Drosophila melanogaster: one gene and its partners. Changing the gene in region 1 together with any one later gene gives a genetic interaction. Each region holds a gene or a part of one and is shown in the gene's direction. Other genes may lie near its edges.

Region 1 (5,671 bases):
TAAACATTAAAAATTCCCCCGAGCCTTAACTACTCACATGAGGAACCAAAAACGATATTTGAAAATGAGGCACTGCAAATAATATGTATGTAGTTTTTACAGCTTTTCCGCGAAACCTAACTAGTTTGCTTTGGAGTCACGTTGCCGCCAGTTGAAAGCAGTTTCGATTCACAAGTGGACATTCCAGAACCAAGTCACATGCGAAGTTCCCTGGAATGTGCTATTACGAATGAGATGTGATACTATACTGACTGCGAATCCAAGCCAGTGGAAGAGTGGAGTTCCCGATCTCAGGACTCTCACTCCGGCGGAATAGCTAATCACGCCCCTTTGTGCCAGGGGCCACTAATTACCATGTTTCCTGGTAACGTCAATCTGACGCACTTAAGTGCGGAAAATCAATGAACATTAATGACCCGGTCCCTTTATTAATAAATTGTAAGTGGGCCAATTGACTGACGACTGAACGCGACTTTGAAATTCAGGCAATGAAAGGTCTAGGAATAGCAGTACACTGTGCGGAGTTTCGAATACCACTTAGAAAGTGATTTTGAAGTTGGAAAACCGAATGAAATATTCACCATTTAAGCTAGTTTCTATGAATAAATGAGCGCTTGCAGCAACAGATAAAAGTTCATTGACTTTGATTTATTTATGAATGAAATATTCATAATGCATAGGCTTTTTAATTAGAATAATAACATTAAATCGCAGGCAGTAATTTCTTCCGGTGTAGGAACCACCTCTATTCGCAAATGCAAGCACTTTTTTTTTGGGTGTGTCGGGGGGCGGTGGGAGGTGGGCGGTGGCAGGGGGCGTGGAACGAACAGGTATTTTCGGTTTAGTTGTTACGAAATAAGTGGCGAAAATTGACGTGCCGAAAGCGAAGGCAAAAAACCAAAACAAACAAACACGAAAACTCAGGCAAATGCGCCGTACGCTTTGCATTGTTTTTTCGCCCACTTTTTATGGATCGAATTTAACGACAATCTTTGGCCTTTTGTTGCTTTAATTGCCCTAGCTGTCCGCACTCACCTTTGCTGGACTTTTCGCGCAGTGCAGCTGCCTCGAAGGAGCCCAATGCCTGCATTATTTCGCGGTCGCCACTTTCCTTGCGGTCAATCGATTTTTCAGAGCGCCCCGAAAAGTCCAAGTGCAGCAGTGTAACGAATTCGCAGCTTTCGTTCGCTTTTCCGTGCATTTCGGAATTTGCACTAATTGGTAGGATTCCCCGGGGAATCGAATCCGTCACTTTTAATCCTGTTTGCTGTTCTTTTCGCACTCGCTTTTGTTTTTGCAATGCAGGCTCCTGCACTTGCGGTACACACACATACCAGCAGCTGCTACGGCCGCCGCTGCACACACACACACGCACAGCGGGCAAACGGGCATCTCTCTAGCTCTACCCGTCTCGCTTCAACCCACTGCCGCGCGCATTTTCACATTTCCCGCATTTGTTGCTACTTCGCTTGATTTATTCGGCGTTCATCTGGGCGTTCCGTTTTCACTTTCGCCTGGCTGGGGCAACAACAAGCTCGCGATCGAGTATCTCAGCTCGGCCGTCCGCTGCGAACGAGTATCTGAGTAGCTGAGTAACTGAGTATCTGAGCGTGAGTATCTGTATCCGAGTGTCTCGCGGAATCGGAATCAACACAAACAGCTGTTAGGGCTGCGATGGCAAGAATCGATAGCTTAGCGATAGGAAATCGATAGTTTGGGATTTAAAAATTGAACAAACAAAATCGTTTATTAACTTGATTTGGGAAATCAAACAGGTGTAATTCATACATCAGCGCAGTCTCCTGGCCTCGCGTTCAGTTTCCAGCAGCGACAGGATGTCGCCCACGCGAACAGGTCCTTTGACATTCCGAATAATCTGGCGGCTTTGGTCGCCGAGGAACTCCACCCGCACCTGGGTGCACTGCCCTTGGGATCCAGTGCGTCCAAGGATCTCGACCACGCGAGCGTACTGAGGCTTGTCCATGCTGAATACGAAATTCGAGAATTGTTCGACAATAAAAGATTTGAATTTGAAGCTGTGAGTGCTGCTGCCTTTCCAGTCGATGAAAATAGAAAACCTATCTACCCTTCTATCATCCCTGGCGCCACCTGTAGGCCTTGTAGCGCAACATAAGTGCGGACGCGAACCACAAGGTGACCCCAAGTCGAGCTGCCACCTTTCGCAGTGTTGGCAATCCAGTTGGCATCCCCGAGGCGAGCTATCGAACCAGTTCGATTTCGAACCACGCAACTCTAGCATGTAATCGTTCGTCTCGCCGTCTAACATTTGTGTCGAACTACATTTTGTTTTGCCATTCAATAAATCTATTATTTACCACTGAATAAGCGGCGCCACGGAGCCCTAAAAGAGTGTGCGCGTTCCGGAGACTCGGCGCACAGCGGCCCGCAGCGATACGTCCATGAAAATCGAACGGCAACAGCAGCAGCACCCACAACCAGCGGAGGCAACAGCAACAAAATACACAAAATAAAGAAGCAGCAGACGGAAAAGTGCACAAATGGTGCAGAACTGAGTGGAAAGGCCACCGAGCACAGATTTCTCACAGTGCAGGAGCCCGGAGACGCCGAAATGCTCTAGAGGGCGGCGCTTCAGCACGATTTTCTCCCCGCGGAGAGCCCAAAGTTGCCAGCGGACGAGGATGACTGCTCCTGGCGAAGCATTAAGTTAAGAGACATACAGCCATTGTTTACAGCAGGCAGCTCAGACACCGGGATAGGATAGGATAGGATATGCCCTCGGGCCAGCCCACTTGAGTTGAGGAGAGCAGAGGAGAGGATCGGGATCCGTGCGCGAGGAGAGGATCTGCAGCCTTGTTTAGCATTTAGTCCGGTCATCGTGCCAGCGCCTTGTTAACCACACTCTCTTGTTTACGTTTGCTTGTTTGTTGAACTCCACAAATCGTCCTTCCATTAATTGTTAGTCACGCGTCCCTCTCGTTGAGCACACTAATCAAAATGAAAGCATCCTCGTCGATATCGAAATTGAAGTTGAAATTGAAATCGAAATTGAAAGCTAAGTTGCAATTGAAATCGAAGCGTCCAGCCGTTAAAGCTACAATCAAATTACACCCGTCCAAACCCACCTCGTCATCGCCATTGCCATCGTCACCGCCATCGAAGATTGGAGCCAGGGCCGTCAGGACTGCGCCAGGATCAGTCGTCTGCCATCCCAATTGAGTGAAGCCGAGGATACACGAATCTAAGGGTGAGTACTGCTCTTGGAATTCCCATGCACAATCCATAACTAATGCTATTACTTTCTTACGCAGTTTGTGGATTATTGGATTTGCACAACTTACTTAAGGACTAATATTAATACTTTAAGAAAGGCACAACATAAGTCTGATTAATGATCTAGTTGTATCAAGGGAAATGATTGGAATTAGACAATTTATTCACGTCTAACTAATATCTCAAATATTAATAGTAATTTGAATGATCCTTTGTAAGAAATGTGAGCATATATTTTGCAATAATAGTAACTTTATGAAATGTATATTTCATTAAATCGAAGGATGATACCTGATCATTGAAAAAGTCATTTAGAACGCCATGCAAATTCTAATCATCCAACTAAAATATTGCTCAATTAATTAGTTTGCAGCACATTTAATTTATTTCTGAGGTGTATGTGCCAATGGGATCCCATAGAAACTGTATATATCTTTTAACTTCATTAACAAATCAATTAATTAACAAAACAGTAAAACATAATTATATTATCATCCTGCATTCATATCCATAATATACAATGTTACCTATTTAACAATTTACACATCCTCTTCTTTCAGGTACTGAATGTACTGCATCAACTGTAATATAAGCTACGTAAATAGGAATTTATGCGAATAAGAGTAATTAAGTGAAGCGTGTAGTTAAACATTTCTACAAACCGGACATAAAAAGATTCAACCATCTTAAAGGACTTGCAGCGCTATGGATTGATATGTTCTCAAGCGTTGGCCATTTCTCACTTGAGTTTAATCGGTTAGTGTTCTATCACCCTTTATATTCAAAGCATTCTTTAGATTTATTTAGGCGTTTATTGGATGCACCCGTGCGCGAAATATTTTCTCCCCCACAAATCCAATATGTATGGCTTATTGAAAAAAAGGAGGCACTTGGGTGGTTGCTACTGATTGATTTAAAGTTCGCTGTGTTGAAAACTAATTCGATTTGGGCTCTGAAATGTAAATTTATTTAAGCTGAGCCAAAAATAATATTTATACAATTTTATCTCTATTAAAATACCTTCCAATTTTATCTTTGATGCAATATTTATGACTGGCATATAAAAAAGTTTTTTTGTTTAATTTATTTATGGTATTTGTATTATGTTTTGGTTTGAATGATTATTTATGAGATGCACGAGACTAAAGATTTTTCTTAAAATTATTTTCATTGTTTTGGACTTACTTTCTTGGCGAACAAAAATATACCCAATGGCCAAATCTCTTTTCTCCCAATTGATAATTGATAATATCCTTATGTATAAAGCTTGCCTATTATATATACATATTTTATATACATTTATTTATATATATGTATATTTAAAACAGAGTAAAAGTGTTCATAATTTTTTTAACTATCCCATAATGCTTGGTAAGGCTAGAAACATTAGTCTTCAGATAAAACTTTAACTTTAACATATAACATAAATTTATACCAAATGGATAACAATGGCTCTAATCTTTTTTTTTTCCAAACTCTTAACTATATGTTTACAACCTTAGTCTTTCGAACAAATATTTTAGTATTATATATTGTCTTAGCTTATTTCAAAATGATTTCAATTGATCTAATCTTTTCTTCATTTCACTATTCTTTCAGGAACAACTGGAACCATTCGGAATACCAATATCTTCCCCTGATTTCATGTTGAATTTTTTATGCAAATTACATATGTGAGTATACAACTTATTTTTACTTTGTCAATGGTTTTGAAGTTTAAGACAACTACGATTGCATGCGAGAATCTCAGAAATATAAACTAGTATGAAAAACTGATTTACATTGATATACTTAGGTCCTTTTCCATTTCTCGAAACCTAATAATCATGACATCCTGAAGGGTTTTAATAAATCCTTTTTAATTGGTTATTATTCGGAAACTACCTTTTCACTCAATTGAAAAATCCTCTTAGTGCAATAAGGATACCATGATTTCACTATTGTTTATTGGGCTGCAGCACTCTGATTAAGGAATTGAATAAGTTTCCGTTGTCTCGGAGAGGAGCAACAGTTGACCGCGCCCAAGTGCATCCTTCGGGTCCTTCGGTGTCCTTGTAATGGGCGTTGCACCTGAAAAGTAGGCGCTTCCGCGCTGAACTTTTCCGCCTGTGCTGGCAACTTTTGCCGCGCACAAAGTGCCACTATTGACCTTCGGCAATACTCGCAGCCGCAGTGAGTAGTGCCCGTGTTTCCCCCAGTTTGCCGGGCCAGACCATGCCGGCGTGGAGTCTAGACCGCCATCAGACGCCGTTCATCGGGCGGTTGGTTGAGCAATGGCGGTCTTAACCTCATTAGAAACAAACGAGGCTGCCGCCGGTCGCTCCTCCCTTCGTATTGTTTTCAAACTTATTCGAAAATAATTTCCACATTTGTGTTTAGGGGAGGAATCGGACTCCGGAGGTGGGTCTTCCATCTCAAC
Region 2 (5,283 bases), on another chromosome or scaffold:
CTCCCTTATTGTGATGCTAACTTCTGACTTAAATCAATATACAGCTGTGTTCATAAAAAATAGCAGTGCTTTGCACCTGCGAGTTTAATATAGAAAAATCCTATGATTTACAGTTTTGATGGGCTTTTTTTTATAATATCATTAGGTATTTAATTTCCAACAATTCAACAAAAATTTCACACTTATTTCTTTAATAGTTTTCTAAAATATAGATCAAAACAACATAATAGGCAGATATTCTGGTGTTCACTGAAAGAGCAGTGCAATAAAAAAATATTAACAAAATTCAATTTGACTTAAAACTAACAGTTTTTCTTATTAATGTGTTGGATAGCCTCTGTTAGCCACCACCTACGCGGCTTGGAGTCCACCAGGTCCTGGCAACGTTTGGGGGGAATTTTTGCCAATGCATCCTGCACAACTTGCCAAATCTGAGCCTTAGACGTCGGGGAATTATTCGTCACATATTGTATAATGTCCCCCCACAGGTTTTCAATCGGGATTAAATCGGAAGATGGTGCTTGCCACGGCATTGCATCTATTCTATTTTGGGTGAACCTTTTCTTAACCGATTTGCTTCTGCCATTCGGATCATTATTCTGTTGGAATTTCCATTTTAAGGGCATATTATAATAAGAATATGACAGTAAGACATCCCTTAGTATATTTACACATGCGTTTTGGTCTATAATACCATAAATCATATGTTATGGACTCATACCATTGTAAAAAATAAACAAGCCCATACCAGTATTGCAGGTCCACCGTGATTGAAAGTCTTCAGTGGGTGTTTTGGGTGGTACTCGGTGTTTGGAGGTCGTCAGATATAACCATATGAACCAGTTCCACCAAATAGCACTATTTTTAACACATCAGTCCAGGGGATATTACGCCATTTGGAGACTGGCCAGTTTAGGTGGGTTTTAGCGAAGTTTAACCTTGGCTTAAAATGCCTTGGGCTAAGTAGGGGCACCTTTCGTGGACTCCTCGCAACTAAATTTTGATTCAGTAGTCGTCTCCGTAAATATGCATAGGAATCAAGGCAATGCTCGGTTACCGGTTGATAATTTTATAGAATAATGTATATAATGTTTTATAATGTAATGTATTATAATGTATCGAAAGTTACTATTTTATACGTTTGTCAATTTATGTGAAAAAGTACATGCAATATATAAACTTAAGGTAACCAGGGTCGGCACAAAGAAAAATATTGTAGATGCACTTATTAGACGTGATCTTGAGTATTAATGATACTAGTATTTAAATAGTATTCAATGCTGTCATCTTTTAGACTGTATAAAGGCACTTATTAAACCAAATTTGTACTTCATTCGGCTTTATACTTTCATATGTACATCAATGTTCTTACACAGCCTTACATTCACGCATTCACAAACATTGACACCTTGCCATGAAAACTAATAAAATCGCGGCATTTTGGCACATTTTCAGAGGAAAGAACGGCCGGAGTGTCGCTAATTCAATTGTTTTCGCAGCCAAAAAGAAAAGTGGAATGGGTTGATTTCAAGTGAAAATTGCCCCAAACCACTTTTCCACTTTTTCACTCTCCTACTCGCTCGCACAGCAATGCAACGAAACAAAAGAAGCGAGATCCACGAAGAAGCTGCAGAAAGGCGAACAAAAGTTGACAGCAGAGGGTATGAAGGAAGGTGAGCGAGAGGGAAGAGGCTAAAAGTGACGAGGGCGAAAAGCTCAGAGAGCAACAACTACTGTTTATTTTGAAAAGAAATAAAAACAGAGCAGGGACCGACACAGTTTGAGTGGCTGCGAGCAGGACGGCGCATGCGAGTGAGAGCATTTTTGTTAAACTGTCATAAATCTTAATTGTGATGGAATCGGATTCGGAATAGGACAAAAGAAGGGTGACGAAACGACAAAACAGATTTCACACACTTTCGGAGCAAGCGAGACGGAGCGGTCCCACAACGCTATCTCTTTCCCTAGCGATTTCCCCTGTTTCAGTTCCAAGCGTTCACTTGCCAGCACAGGGGAAAGTCTGCGCTCTTGTCGCTCTCTCTCTCTCTTCTCTCTCGCGCTCTCTTTTGGCTACCCATCGGTTTCGGGTTCTTTTCGCCAAGAGTCAGTCAGTCGACAAGAAACCGTTACTGCGTACGATCGTGCGAAAAAGCTCGGCGCACTTGGAAAAATCGTACGGTAATTAGTTAGCCGAGTGCCGGCGAGTGCGAGCGAGAGAGTAGCACATTTAATCACGCTGACAGCCAGCTTGTCCTGCAAGGGTGTGGGTGGCACACACGGCACACACAACACACACACAAGTGCGCAGCCGTCGCCAGAACGCAAAATCGAATCAGAAATTGCCGTCGCCAAAACGCGGGCTTCGTGTTTGCTCGTCAACAGCAGCGCAGCTTCCAATCGCTGCGCGTCCGTCGCGTCGCTTCATTTTTTCATCCGTATCAATCAGTGAAGGCAGAGCAGCAGCGCCCCGTTGTTGTTGTTTGTCAGCTTGACAGCGACGGCAGCGCAGCAGCAGCGCACCGGCAGAGCACCGCAGCAGAGGCTAGTGACGAAGGAACCCGGCCAGCGGGATTCAATCGCCTTTGGACTTTCGTTCGAGTAGTGACGACGAATCCGGATGAGAAGACGCACGCATCGCGACCCGCGGTTCCGCCAGAACAGTGAATTCTCAGTTTAAAACGCGTTTTTGGGGGAGGATAGAACGAGTGTTTTCCAGGCCGCCATCATATCTAGTCAAAGAAGCAGAGGTTTGATACTCTCGAACGCAAATGCTCGATCAAGACTGAAACATACGAGAAACATACAACTACAAATGGTTCAACAAAGTATACGTAAAACTACCACAAGCTAAACAAAATATACCACAAAAATATATTTATTACCAAAACTAAAGATAAACTATTGCAAATATTTACATTAAACGGTATTTAATTCACCAAAATTACACTACATACATAATGTAAAGCCAGTTACTTAAATCAACAAACCTTAACGAAGTATACGATTCAATGCAATTAATAAATTAAATTTAAATCAACACAAATTAGGAATTAAAAATACAAACGCCTCGAAACGTCATTTTTTGTCTGACATACGAAAGTTTATAAATTACAAAATCCAAAAAATATAAATTAATCAGTTATACGCTGCAACAACAACAAGTTATACTACAACGTACCAAGTGCAAAACAATAGATTATATGATCATTGTGTCAAACTAAAGTTAAGTTCCAAAATCCAACTAAAATCCTCGTTGTTTGCTCCAAAAAGAGCAAACCATCCAAGTTCCAGCAAACCGTCAAAATTCAGCAAAATTTAAAAATGTTACACGAGGCTCTGATGCTCGAGATCTACAGACAGGCGCTAAATGCCGGGTAAGTGTTATATGGAAGATTATTTCCATAGAACAGTGAAAGATGTAGAATTAAGAAAAAGATTCACATGGCCTTATTCGGGGGATTCAAAAATGTGACTACTCTGGGTATGAAGGATAAACGAACTGAGATTTTACTACCAAAGTGCATCAAAGTGTTTTTCATTATGAAATAGTGAAATATTGAATTCTTAACTAAAAGTGGCCATACTCAAAATATTCACATATAAAATAATTACATTCATCTCATTCAGTTAATATTATTTTTTTGCAATTGCTTTTTATGTGCGTTCAAGTATCTGGTTAAATAGAATATTATATATACCAAGTATATACGACATATATTGAATATAGAACGTTTTCAATCAAAATCAAAAACCATTGTCATTGTGAACTGATAGCCGAACTTGTTGAAATAGTATTGCAGACTCTCAACCACAAATCGGCCAAATAAATATATCAAGAAACTATGATTTCATGGCATTTGATGATTGGCATTGGCGGTTCGGCGTAGTCGCACACCTGTCGTTATAAATTCAGCGCCTCGCCAATAGCGCGCCCATATATCACAACACCCACCCGCAGAACCAAGAGTACTGAGTTCACGACTACGAGTCCAGACCCTCGGATCGGGAAAAGCAGAACTTGATTTGAAAAGGGTGGCTGGCAGGGGAAATCCGAAAATAACAGAAAAATCGCCATAGTTCGATGATGGGATACTAACTTGGGGTAAGCGTTTGTGTATCTGTATCTGGGTTTCTCTGAAATTATGATTAAACAAGTTCAAGATATTTTTCGAACTCGCTCTCGAACAGTCACTCGAGTGAGCCTGAGTCTGAGCAAATTAACTGAAGGCTAAAAACGGGTTTTATGACACTATATTTGCGGGGGCGAGGGTATTCGGGGGTGCATCTGGAGTATTAATAATAAAGTGCGACAAATTGTCTCGCTCTCGTTTGATTTGCATGCAGATACACACGAATTTTCAAGATTTTCCAAGGCGATGACGTAGTCGAATTGAATAAATCATGCGAAAAAGTGAAAAACTCAAAATACGCTACGCTCTGCTTGCCATCTTTTCCATTCTCCACCCCCTCCAATTTCCCCGTGTGCGCCTATTACCGGAGAGATTTATGTTCACAATTTGCCGCTGGCGTGTGCGTGTGCGTGTGGCTGTATCTCCGGGTGCATGTGTATGTTTAGTAATATTTACTCTGCTACCTTAACGGATTTGTCGTGCCTTAGATTTGCTTTAACAGGGACAGTGTGTTGTATTCGGCACAAATAGATATACTGTTATTAATAACCTTCATTTCGCAGTATATAGTAAAAATATACTAGGGAATAAACATTTTAAACAATAATTCTACTATAAAAAAATTCAGATCGGTCAACTCATATTTATTTATATTCTCACCTGAGGTCCAACCAACTCTCCCATATCACACCAATGGGTGTACTCCCACTATTTTAGTTAGCCTGAGCGTTACGGGTGCATATCAATATGCAACTCTCTCGATTATTAATGAGACATTTCAACTTGTAATTAACTGCACTTGCTGGAGTTGCGTATAAATCATTTTGATTTAAGCCTAATCGAATAACGAGATTTCAGATTATGATATGCTGGCGGAGAAAACTCGTTGCCAAGTATTTTATACTAGTCAAGCAAAATAATGGAGAAACGAGCCGCTAAATGGGTTGTTTGCGGGCTCAATCGCCCCTTGCAATCTGGATAGCTAATTAGCGGTGAGTGATTGCGCGGTGTGTGTAATAACTATCTTTGATAAACTGTCACCTGGCAGGTGACTGAGTTCAAAATAAGCTGCACATGAATCAGATTTTGTTCCGACGTTCCTTAAGATATCATCAATATTGCGCTAGGCCGGATTTGTTAGTAAACAATCCAT
Region 3 (5,313 bases), on another chromosome or scaffold:
ACAAGATAATGACCTACATAGTGGGTGGGGTGTGGGTGGTGTACCCTGCTGCCAAGCGCCAATGCAACGATCTCTGTTGCTACACGGCTTCTCATAAATATTTCTGCCGTTCCGAAGAAAAAACTGGCATTTTATCTGCCACGTTTTTGCTATTTTTATTTATTTAATTTGTGAATTTGATTTTTCTTTGTATTCGATTGCGCTTGGTGGTGTCCTGCGATCGGCGACCTCCAAATGCGTTTTTCGGTTTATATATTGCGTGCACTTGGCGCTGCTCCAAATCCGCCATCCATAATTTATCAATGTTGTTTATAATTGAAGAAAGGCAAATTAAATTTATCTGTAAATTCGGCTACGAAATTCCTTGCGATCAACCAAAATAATAAACTCAGTCTAGCAAGGGCACAGACCTCATTCATGTGCGTGCAATACTTTAGCTTAGCTATTCTCGTAAGGTGGTTGTCTCAATTTATTGTCAAAATTCTGTTCTGCTTTAAATGCCAAAATTGTGTTCAAAATCTTTCGTCAAATATTCCAATAAATTAACTTCAAGGACGGACGGCCATCACCTTTTAGCCTTATTATCATTAAACAAAGCGCTACTTTCGCAAAACCATCGTTGCTATTTTGACTTGACCACAAGTCACTAGAATCAGTAACCATATCGGCCAACAAGAAGGCAGCTAAACAAGGACCCACTCGCGATGTGAAAGTCAAGAGCACGGCCATCGAGAGCGGCCCCTCCAAGCCCCCGCCGGACAAACATCTGGAGCGCCAGTTTGTCCAGTCGGTGAATAGTTAGTGTCCGGTCGCTTTGTTCAGCTGAAGTTATTGCTAATTATTATTAAGTTCTCGTAACTAATTTTGAATTTTCTTCTTCATTTTCTTTCCAGGTAAGTTGACTATCATATTACCAAACTTCCTATAAACGGGTAAGCAAAAGTCTGTTCTCCCACATTGAAGTCTATATATATATATATATGGTGATAACTGCTAAAAGCAAACTTATAGATTGTAATTGTTTTTAAGTGTTTAATTAGTTTATAAGTAAAAGCTACGTATATGTAAAGCTAGCCTAATTTCGCAGAATTTGTAGCTAGTGTTGCCCAAATGGGTTAAGTTACATGAGTTTATGTTATTTTGTTTACAAATGAAATTTGTGGAAATATGTACCAATACAGGGTTTAAGATTTCGATTGTGGCGAACATTTATGGCTGTGGCCTTGGGACTTGCATACTTTCGGGCGGCGCTCGTAATGAACCGGCTGCATTTTTCGATGCTTTCGCAATTAGCGGTGGTTAAAAGACCTCGCCACCCACATCCCCACCTCCCACATTCCCCACCCACTGAATTTTCCACTCTTTAACTCTTCTGTTTTTGTTTTGTTTTGTTGACTCATCGGCACGCGCGCTCTCATTTCGGCCTCTTTCTTTATCTCTTTCTCGGTTACCTAATTTTTGCATAAGTCGCGTCGCCGACACATGAGAAATTCCGGCGCAGCGTACTAACAAATACGCACACACTCGCACACTCGCACATGCAGCTAGCACACTCACGCACCGCATGCAAATTAGCTGTCCGCTGACTAGAAATTCTTTCGCGAGCGCTCTCTTTCCCGCCCCTTTGCTCTGTGTGCTCGCTCGCTCCCCACACGCCGCACACGCTCCCCCGCTTCCTCCCTCGCCGTTCGCCGTCCATGTGACGATCAATTTTAGCGCACATTGGGGCAAATGTGTGGAGCAAGCTGCCAGCGATGCTCTCTTTCGGGTGAGAAACAACATAAATACTTCTTTCATTTAATTCCATTTCCATTTGAGAAGCGAAGCAAAGCTTTCGGCCCACCGTGCAACGTTCAATGCTCCGGTACAGCTGCGGTCAGTCAGTTAGAAATCAAAGTTATATCAAATGTTCCTTGGAAGAGACCAAAAATGATGTGTCATGCCTTAGTAGAGACAAACTTACCTAGAAAGGTGCCTGTATTTATAAACTGGTGTTGACATTTATTTAAAGTTGTAGAAATATTGATTAGTTAGGTGGTCCTTCCGTTGCGAGCGCTGCTGTGCTGCGGGACGCCGGCGCAGGCGCTGCTGCGCTGCCGGCGACGCTGTCGGCTGATGTGAATGTGATGTAGATGCCCATGCTTCGACTCGCTCACTCGCGTTGAATCCATCGAGCAGGCGCGTCGTTCTCTCCTCTCGTTCCGGCGCGTTCCATTCAGCCATTCCGCGACTCTATTTGCCTGTTGTTTTTGTAGCTTTATCAGCGACAAAAAAAAAAAAAAACGAAACGAAACAAATATAAATATAAATAACAACGGCGAAACAAAAAGTGAAACAAAATCGTGACGCGCCTGATTACTTTATTTTTTGTGTCAACAGTGTGTGCAGTGTAATGTGTCTCCAAAAGAAAAATAAAAATTAGAAACTAGTCGAATTCAATATGCATTGAAATCTAATTAGTTGCCGCATTGTTGTTTTTGCCGCCTGACACCATTAGAAAATCACGAAAAGAGCTATCAACATGGCCTAAAGTGACCAATGAATTGGAGTTTATTTCACGGCGTTGTGAAATATGCTCCAACTTTAACCCAAAAACCCACACACACTCATTGCCAATGTATTAATGTTTTTTTTTATTTTTATTTATACTTGGGGGAGATGTGTATTTTTTTAGTGGGGCGAATGTTCTAGAAAGCTCTTTAAAGTACCTCGATTTGTGTGGGAATCTAACGCTCGTTGTTTGCCCCTTCCTCGCAATAGTTGTTTGTGAATATGTTGCGATGTATACGTATCCACGATTTCAGTGCATCTTCACTACCAAATCCAAGAAGAAGAAACTTAAAATTCATCAATGGAAAAGTTTTTGCAATCCCCCTGTCTCGCTCACTTGCTCTGGCCCCCTCAATCGCCGCTCTCTTTCCGCCGCAAGGCGCACAACAAGTGGCAAACCGAAGCGGCGGCGTCGTCTTCAAACCAGTTTTACTGTAGCGTTGTTGTTGCTGCTTCAGCTTACACTGAAAAAATAACGCAGTCAATAACGCAAATTAGTCCATAGCTTGTTGGTACCATTTCGTTTGTATATTTTATAAGCACATTTTGTAAACAGGAATTAATGGAGAATACGCAACACAAATCTAAGGCACGATTTCTAAAAAAGTTTAAATGATGTGGTGATTAATGTTTGTTTATTTATCACGACACTTAAATTGTTCTCTGTGTAATTCTGCGGCTGCTGCGTCTCCGCGATAATTGGTGCGGAGGTTGCCCCTTCAGCCCTCCCCCCAAACTCCTCCATCTACCATTCCATCTACCGTTCCGCCGATCAGTATTTGCTTTTATGGGCAAAAGTTCTTCAATGAGTGGTCACAGCATTTGTGAAGGGAGGGGGGCGGAGGGGGCTGCGGTACGTGCATGCAATTCCTTATTGGCGACAATGTTGAAATGTGTGCGCCTGTTTGAAGGAAAACACCAGAGATCAAACCAATAGCTTTAAAACTTTGATTGCCTTTTGATTAAAGCCATGTGGAACTTAGTGCCATCACCGTTATTGGGCAGATTCTAATTGGTTTTCCAAGTAAGATGCTGAAAATGCAATTTTTTCTCGTAACGTTAATCGGTGAACAGGGAATCCCCCTCATTGATCTCCCAGCGCAGTGGAGCCAAAGTCCTAAGTTTTTTCAGCATGGATGACAGTGCCTATTAGTGTGACCGCTGGTGTTTGTGGTGGCTTGGGCCAAAAGTGAATTATTCATGTTGTTGCTGCTGTCGCTCTGCCAGTGGAAAATTCCCAAAAAAAATTCGCATGAACTGCGCCGGCTGCTCCTCCGCTCCTCCGCTGCCCCACATGCTTCTCCTTCCACTCGTTCTTCTTCTTCTTTGAGTGCCCCCCAAAGGCAAAAAGTCGGAGTCGAAGTTACTTGGTGTGTTAGTTGTTGTTGCTCTTGCCCACTCATTCGCTTCGGTTTTTTTTTATTTTCTTTTCTTGTCTTTAACATTTTTTCTTTTTATAAAAATAGCACAGACGAAGAAATATTTGCACACACACACACACACCACGCACACACGTGTATTGTAGCATTTGCTAATTTTCTTCGTTTGTTTCGCTTGGCGTTTTTTGTTTGTTGATTCGCCTATTGCCTCCGTCTTCCCTCTCGCTCTCCGCCACTTTTATATTTTCAAAGACAGCAATTTGTATCTTTAGTGCGGGGATCACTTTTCTCTCTTAAACCCGACTTTCTCACGCTCTCTTCCGGCGCTCTTTCGTCTCCTTATCCACCACCCACCCACGCCCTAAATGTGTCAATGGTTCAAGGCGGACGAATGAATAATCAAAGAAGAATTAACTCGGAGCTTTTCACATTAAAAAGCTTCTCAATTGTGGAGCTTTGCTTTCGTCAGACTTTTTTCGGGGGCCAAAACTGCATGACGTGCCGCCAAAATCAATAAACATAGTATTGTTTCGCACTTTGTGTATACATACTATGTACTTTCACACTTGTTCTTCCCATCCAATTTATGCAAGATCATATGCTTAGTTCTTAGTACTGCCAAATCCTTACAAAAAAAAGTCGGGTTTAATGCGGCTGTCACCGCCTCTTATCTTTCATTTCCCTCCAATATGCCTCCCACTTGCAGGCAGTTGACTTTGTTTCACTGGAAGCCACGCGTTGCTTGTCGATTTGATCCTCTTATAAATATTTGCACGTCTCGATTTACATTGTTTGCTTGTTGTTTTTGTATGTATGGCATAATGACGTTTACGATGACGCGCTTGAAACGACTAAAAGTCGGAATTATATGGCTGGCCCCCCGTCGATTTCTCACGCCCATTTTTGGAAGTGAATCGCGGCTTTGGCATTTTTGGTATCCAGAAATGTTGTCGCCACTGCAAATACGAACAAAATATACATAATAACATGCGGAATCTGGCCCATGGCGTCGTAAACCGGTGCAACCTTAATGACAAATTGCAAATGTGAATAGAGTGCGTTTCATAATGCACTTCCGGTCATAAAATATAATAATTCCTAAGGCGAATTAATTGTTTATCAATCAATTGTTTTGATACAACAATTTGTCAATAAAGAAGCACACATGGGCACCAAGAATCTGCTGACGTTGTCGCATTCTTGTTATCGATCAATTAACGTTTTTCACTTCAATTTGCAATAAAGTAATTCTTACGATAATAATGACAGGGCAGGACGGGATGGTACGTATTCGAATCGGTAATATGAGGCAAGGGAAAGGAAGACGGGTAAAAATAAAGTTAACGATATGGCAGTAAACAATGTGGGTTGGACACAAGCAAGC
Region 4 (6,019 bases), on another chromosome or scaffold:
CATCAAGATCTTGGCCAGCAACAGTAGTGTCAATACCAAAATGGGACCAGTGCATATCCAGAGTCAACTGCCGAAGCCCCGGCCCAGGATACTCAACGCGGAAATGGGCAAGAAGACGCAGTCGATGAAACCGCTGATGAGCATGGGCAAGGAGCTCTGTCCCACGGACGTCGACACCGAAGAGGACGATCCGGATCCAGATCTCGATTTTGATATCGATAATATACCGGTATCTATTGTTACCCGTAAGAATGCCAATGTCAATGCCAATGCCAAGTCCAAGCAGGTGACGACAACGACGTCGGTGGCGGCGTCGGCGGCGATGACGTCCGCTCCAGCAGCGGTAGCGGTTAACAAGTTGAACAACAATCGGCGCAATGTGCTGTCCACGACAGCGTCGTCGGTGAATGCGCTGATTGCGGACCGGAGGCTGAGCAATCTGCTGGCCGATAACGATGTCCAGCCGGTGTTCAAGAAGCCGAGCCTGGTTCCGCAGCGTCGCAGCAAGGAGAACCAGCAGGAGCAGCAGCGCGACAAGGAGCTGACAACGCTGCGCGAAATATTGCCCACCGGCGGTGGCATCGACGATGCCAACAGTCCCAAATATTTTCCGCCCGAGACCACAACGTTTCACGAGGAGGATGGTCGTGTGGTAAAGAAGATCACCTGCTATGAGACGTGGCATGTGGTTAGCACGGCCAAGGATATGTTGTCGAAGATGGCGCGCCAGCAGCGCACCTGCCTGGAGCTGGCGCTGGTCAAGCTGGCCAATGTGGCGTCACGGATAAAGGTGCCATCGGGCAAATGGACCAGCAAGGTGACGCTGTACAAGGTCTCGCCGTCGATGATGCCCCGCCAGACAATGACCATCTTTACGGGCGATCTCAAGGCGTACAACATACCCGAGGAGGACCGTCACAAGTATCAGCCGTCGTGCGTGCTCTTCCGGCGCGTTGTCGTTGACAAGAACACGTGCCGCGTGCCCTACGATCGGGCCGTCATCTTCAAGAACAAATGCTTCTATGCGAACATCGATGGCAAGCATGTGAATCTGTTGGGTGCCCCCGAGACGGTTGCCACCATCAAGGATGTGGAGATCCTGCTGGATATCGTCGATCGCCTCTCGATCAGCAGCAACATTGTCGAGCTGGTCAACGCTAAGTGAGCGTGGAGGCCTGGTCCATGGTGGCCACAGGAAGAGCACGTATCACATTGTAAAAAATAATTCACACACAGCACTCCCCTCCCCATCCCCATCCCCCTCCCCCATACACATACACAAACAAACAAAGCGGACACTCGATAATTCGTTTTATGCTGTAGTTGTAATAAAACAGATACAAGTTTTTTTTTGTAAAACCATTAACTTAGTTGTAATAGCTAGTGTAGCGTAAATTTATATATATTTATATGTATATATATATATGTATGTATATAAATATATATTAATATATATACACGTATATATAATTATATATTTATATATATGAATATATATATATATATATTTATATAAATTTTTATATATATATATCTCGTATATTATAAACAGCGGACGGACATACATAAATACAAACGGCAGATGTATCTATGTAATATAAACTAAACTAAAGAAAACAATTAATTGTAAAATGCTCGCCCAACTCTCGAAGGGATTGCGAAGTTCCGGGCGGTCGAGGTATATCAATAATGATTTTTATTTTAAATGCGTTGGAATACATAGCCCCCCTCCGCCTTCCCCGCGAGTCCCGCCCCCTTCGAAATCCTTTTTTTTTAAATTGCTATTATCGTAGTCGATTCAATAATATAAAACCGGGCGTACATGTGCCTACGCCCGCGTGGAGGACTAGCCAGTAAGTTAGTCGAGTGTATATCTAAGTGATCCCAATTCAAAGCATACAAATAAAAGAGAAAACTGATTTAAATAACGAGCGCCATTGCGTGATAAATGGCGGGCGGGGTTATCTGGAAATCGGGCAGCTATAAATAAACTGCGGCCAACGCTAGAGATTTTCGTGTGAAAAGCGAAAGAAGATAAGGAACGCAGGCTTCAAGTGGATGGATGGATGAGTTTCCTTGGTCAAGTTTCCATGACAAGGATAAAGACTCTACTTTTAAACAGGACACTCTTCAACTATGCTACATCATTATATGGTAAATTAATACAATTAAGAGTTCAATATAGCTGTAGTTTTAGATTCTACATGTTTTATGTAATAGAAATTGCTATTTTGTTAAATTATAATAAATTTATTGTTTTGAATAAGTATTCAAATTAAACGATATTTATCGATAACTTTGGTATTTAATTTTAAAAGTGTTTGAACTACATTCAAATTGTAAAGCAAATATCGTTAGAGAGAGCATTTCCAATAGAAACTAAATACATTGCAGTTTTTAGTAGTTTTCCATACGCTTTTTCAGAATATTCGTTTGAGAAAATGTTAAGAATGTTCGAATTCGAAAGGGTCTGGCATCGCCGGCAGTGTGACCAACTGCCCGGCGCTTTGGCATTCCGTGCGTGACGAGCGGCTAACACACTGTTTTTTTTTAGTCTCAAAATTCTAACAAATTTATTGATAAACTAGCAATATGCTCGTTTCGCCCTGCCCCCGCTGCGTGCACCGACATTAAAGCGCACCAAATCGTGCTAATGGAGCAATATCAACGCCGTGCAAATCGACGAATTAACAGCCGCCGCTTCCATTGAATCGAAATACCCAGCCCAAAAAAAAGAGAAAGAAAAAGTAAAAGAAACGCGTGCGAGAGCGAGAGGGCTAGAGCGACCAGGGGGAGAAAAGCAAAATCGAGTGAATTTTGTTTGTTGTATCGGCTTTTCCCTGGCTTAATCCCGTTTTCCCTGTGATTTTTCCCCACCAACTTCCCACGCCACCTCCCCACCGCATCCATCGCATTTCGTTTTGATCGCGTTTTATCGCGTCGAGGAGTTTTCCCGTGGATTTCCGCAGTCGGCGCAGCTAAAATGGACGCGGACAGGGGCGGCGGGCAGGAGACGAAGGTGATATACCACATCGACGATGAGACGACGCCGTATCTGGTGAAGATCCCCATTCCATCCGCCCAGGTGACGCTGCGCGATTTCAAGCTGGTGCTGAACAAGCAGAACAACAACTACAAGTACTTCTTCAAGTCAATGGACGCCGATTTCGGTGTGGTCAAAGAGGAAATAGCCGACGACTCCACCATACTGCCCTGCTTCAATGGGCGAGTGGTGTCCTGGCTGGTCTCCGCCGATGGTACCAATCAGTCAGATAACTGCTCCGAGCTGCCAACCAGTGAGTGTGAATTGGGCATGGGTCTGACCAACAGGAAGCTACAGCAGCAACAGCAGCAGCATCAGCAGCAGCAACAACAACAGCAGCAGCAGCACCAGCAACAGCAACAACAACAGCAGCAGCAGGTGCAGCCTGTCCAGCTGGCGCAGCAGCAACAGCAGCAGGTGCTCCATCACCAGAAGATGATGGGCAATCCGCTGCTGCAGCCGCCACCGCTCACATATCAATCGGCATCCGTGCTCTCCAGCGATCTGGACTCGACCAGTCTCTTTGGCACCGAATCCGAATTGACGCTGGACCGCGACATGACCGACTATAGCAGCGTTCAGCGATTGCAGGTGCGCAAGAAGCCGCAGAGGCGCAAAAAACGGGCGCCCAGCATGTCGCGCACCTCCTCGTACAGCTCCATAACCGACTCGACCATGTCCCTAAATATCATTACCGTCTCCATCAACATGGAGGCGGTCAACTTTCTGGGCATATCCATTGTCGGGCAATCGAATCGCGGCGGCGACGGCGGCATCTACGTGGGCAGCATCATGAAAGGCGGCGCAGTGGCACTCGATGGACGCATCGAACCGGGCGACATGATCCTCCAAGTGAACGATGTCAACTTCGAGAACATGACCAACGACGAGGCGGTACGTGTGCTGAGAGAAGTCGTTCAGAAGCCGGGACCCATCAAGCTGGTGGTGGCCAAGTGCTGGGACCCAAATCCCAAGGGCTACTTCACCATTCCGCGCACGGAGCCGGTGCGACCCATCGATCCCGGTGCTTGGGTGGCGCACACTCAGGCCCTCACATCGCACGACAGTATTATTGCCGACATTGCGGAGCCGATTAAGGAGCGTCTGGACCAGAATAACCTCGAGGAGATCGTTAAGGCGATGACGAAGCCGGACAGCGGCCTGGAGATCAGGGATCGCATGTGGCTAAAGATAACGATTCCCAATGCATTTATCGGCGCCGATGCGGTCAATTGGGTGCTGGAGAATGTGGAGGATGTTCAGGATAGGCGGGAGGCGCGAAGGATCGTCTCGGCGATGCTGCGCAGCAATTACATCAAGCATACGGTCAATAAGTTGACCTTCTCGGAGCAGTGCTACTACGTGGTGAACGAGGAGCGCAATCCCAATCTGTTGGGCCGAGGACATCTGCATCCGCACCAGCTGCCGCACGGGCATGGCGGCCATGCGCTTAGCCATGCGGACACCGAGAGCATCACCAGCGACATCGGGCCGCTACCGAACCCGCCCATTTATATGCCATATTCGGCCACGTACAATCCAAGTCACGGCTATCAGCCGATCCAGTACGGCATCGCCGAGCGACACATCTCGTCGGGATCGAGTAGCAGCGATGTGCTGACCAGCAAGGATATCTCGGCGTCGCAGAGCGACATCACCTCGGTGATCCATCAGGCCAACCAGCTGACCATCGCCGCTCATGGCTCTAACAAATCATCCGGCTCCTCCAATCGGGGCGGCGGCGGAGGCGGTGGCGGTGGCGGCAACAATACCAACGATCAGGACGTATCCGTATTTAATTACGTATTGTAGAAACCTTTCTTTTTGCAATCAAATTGTGTTTTTAATTAATTAAATTAAATATGTACGATTATTCTTTTTTATATACGAGTATACAAAGCAAGCAAACAGCAAACCACAATATAATAATTATAATTATAATAATAATAATAATAATAATTATAATAATAATAATAATACTTATGTATATGTATGGTATGTGTAAGTCATAGAAAAGAACGCTAAACACCCAGCCGCAACGAGTCAAGGATCAGCGAGGGCTCGTGAGGCAGCAGGAGGATCAGCACAGGGATATCCGTGTCCGGCAGCAATCGGTTGTGGACCCGATCAGATCAGATCAACTGAGATATATGATATATGATATATATATATATATATATATATATATATATATGGATGATGCGGAGCGGAGCGGAGGAGCAGGAACGGCAGCATGACGGGCGAGAATGATTTTGAATAAAGTTCTAAGAATTTAGTAATCACAAAGTAAATAAATACAAATAAAATGAATAATCGATGGCTTTTCCATATGCATGAGATTGGTTTCTTTAACGCATTTTAGCTGTTTTCAAGTGCAAATCAAATTGCCAAGAAGACTTTTAAAATATTCCTAAAACATATTAGCGTTTGTTCGTAATTTGAGGAATATACATTAAAAAGGAAGTCTAATTTTTGTTAGTTCTTATTTCTTTGTACAGATTAACAATATTTAAACACATACTTTCCATCCTAAAAAGTAAAAGTCTCAACAAGATAATATTGTTCTTCCCCCTAAACCAAACAATGCGCCATCGAGAACAATCCTCGAAGTTGTGTGCACTCGGAGCGGAAACATTCCGGGCATGGGTGTGCACTTAATAAAGAAGAGAATAATGAAACCTATAAATAGAAAATCCATTTCGAGCAGCAAATGTGTTCAAATCAACCGCCCAGCTCGGACACTTTGCAACACTAAGCCCGAAAATCGATAGCAACGAACGTTCGATAACTGTTCGATAAGCACGCCAAAGCAAACTATCGCTTTCATTCCAGAAAGGTCGCGAAACCAATAGGTTCTATTGTGGAAAGAAACGCAAATTTCCAGTTCATTTGGATTGTTTAAATCCGAGAAAACGATGGCAACGGATGTGGAGCCGGCGGCGAATACGGCGGACAAGTTCTCCGCCAACGCGGAGG

What was found.
Region 2: of Axn (region 1) and tsh, changing one suppresses a phenotype caused by changing the other (phenotypic suppression), as found in Drosophila melanogaster (one study listed by BioGRID).
Region 3: of Axn (region 1) and sgg, changing one suppresses a phenotype caused by changing the other (phenotypic suppression), as found in Drosophila melanogaster (2 studies listed by BioGRID).
Region 4: of Axn (region 1) and dsh, changing one suppresses a phenotype caused by changing the other (phenotypic suppression), as found in Drosophila melanogaster (2 studies listed by BioGRID).

Annotation. Positions count from the first base shown.
Region 1 is NT_033777.3:30,020,615-30,026,285, forward strand, and holds the start of Axn (axin), read left to right. Parts: upstream 1-2,227; 5' UTR 2,228-3,226; intron 3,227-3,812; 5' UTR 3,813-4,008; intron 4,009-4,851; 5' UTR 4,852-4,925; intron 4,926-5,603; exon of another isoform or gene 5,604-5,671. Other genes in the region: RpS28a (ribosomal protein S28a), read right to left, coding at 1,790-1,984.
Region 2 is NT_033779.5:21,826,485-21,831,767, forward strand, and holds the start of tsh (teashirt), read left to right. Parts: upstream 1-2,108; 5' UTR 2,109-3,321; coding exon 3,322-3,374; intron 3,375-5,283. UniProt on the Drosophila melanogaster protein: Homeotic protein that acts downstream of Arm in the Wg cascade during embryogenesis to determine segment identity throughout the entire trunk.
Region 3 is NC_004354.4:2,644,483-2,649,795, forward strand, and holds the start of sgg (shaggy), read left to right. Parts: upstream 1-2,154; 5' UTR 2,155-2,389; intron 2,390-5,253; exon of another isoform or gene 5,254-5,257; intron 5,258-5,313.
Region 4 is NC_004354.4:11,353,371-11,359,389, forward strand, and holds dsh (dishevelled), read left to right. Parts: upstream 1-2,510; 5' UTR 2,511-2,983; coding exon 2,984-4,855; 3' UTR 4,856-5,354; downstream 5,355-6,019. Other genes in the region: CG1737 (uncharacterized protein), read left to right, coding at 1-1,165; Pa1 (PTIP associated 1), read left to right, coding at 5,959-6,019.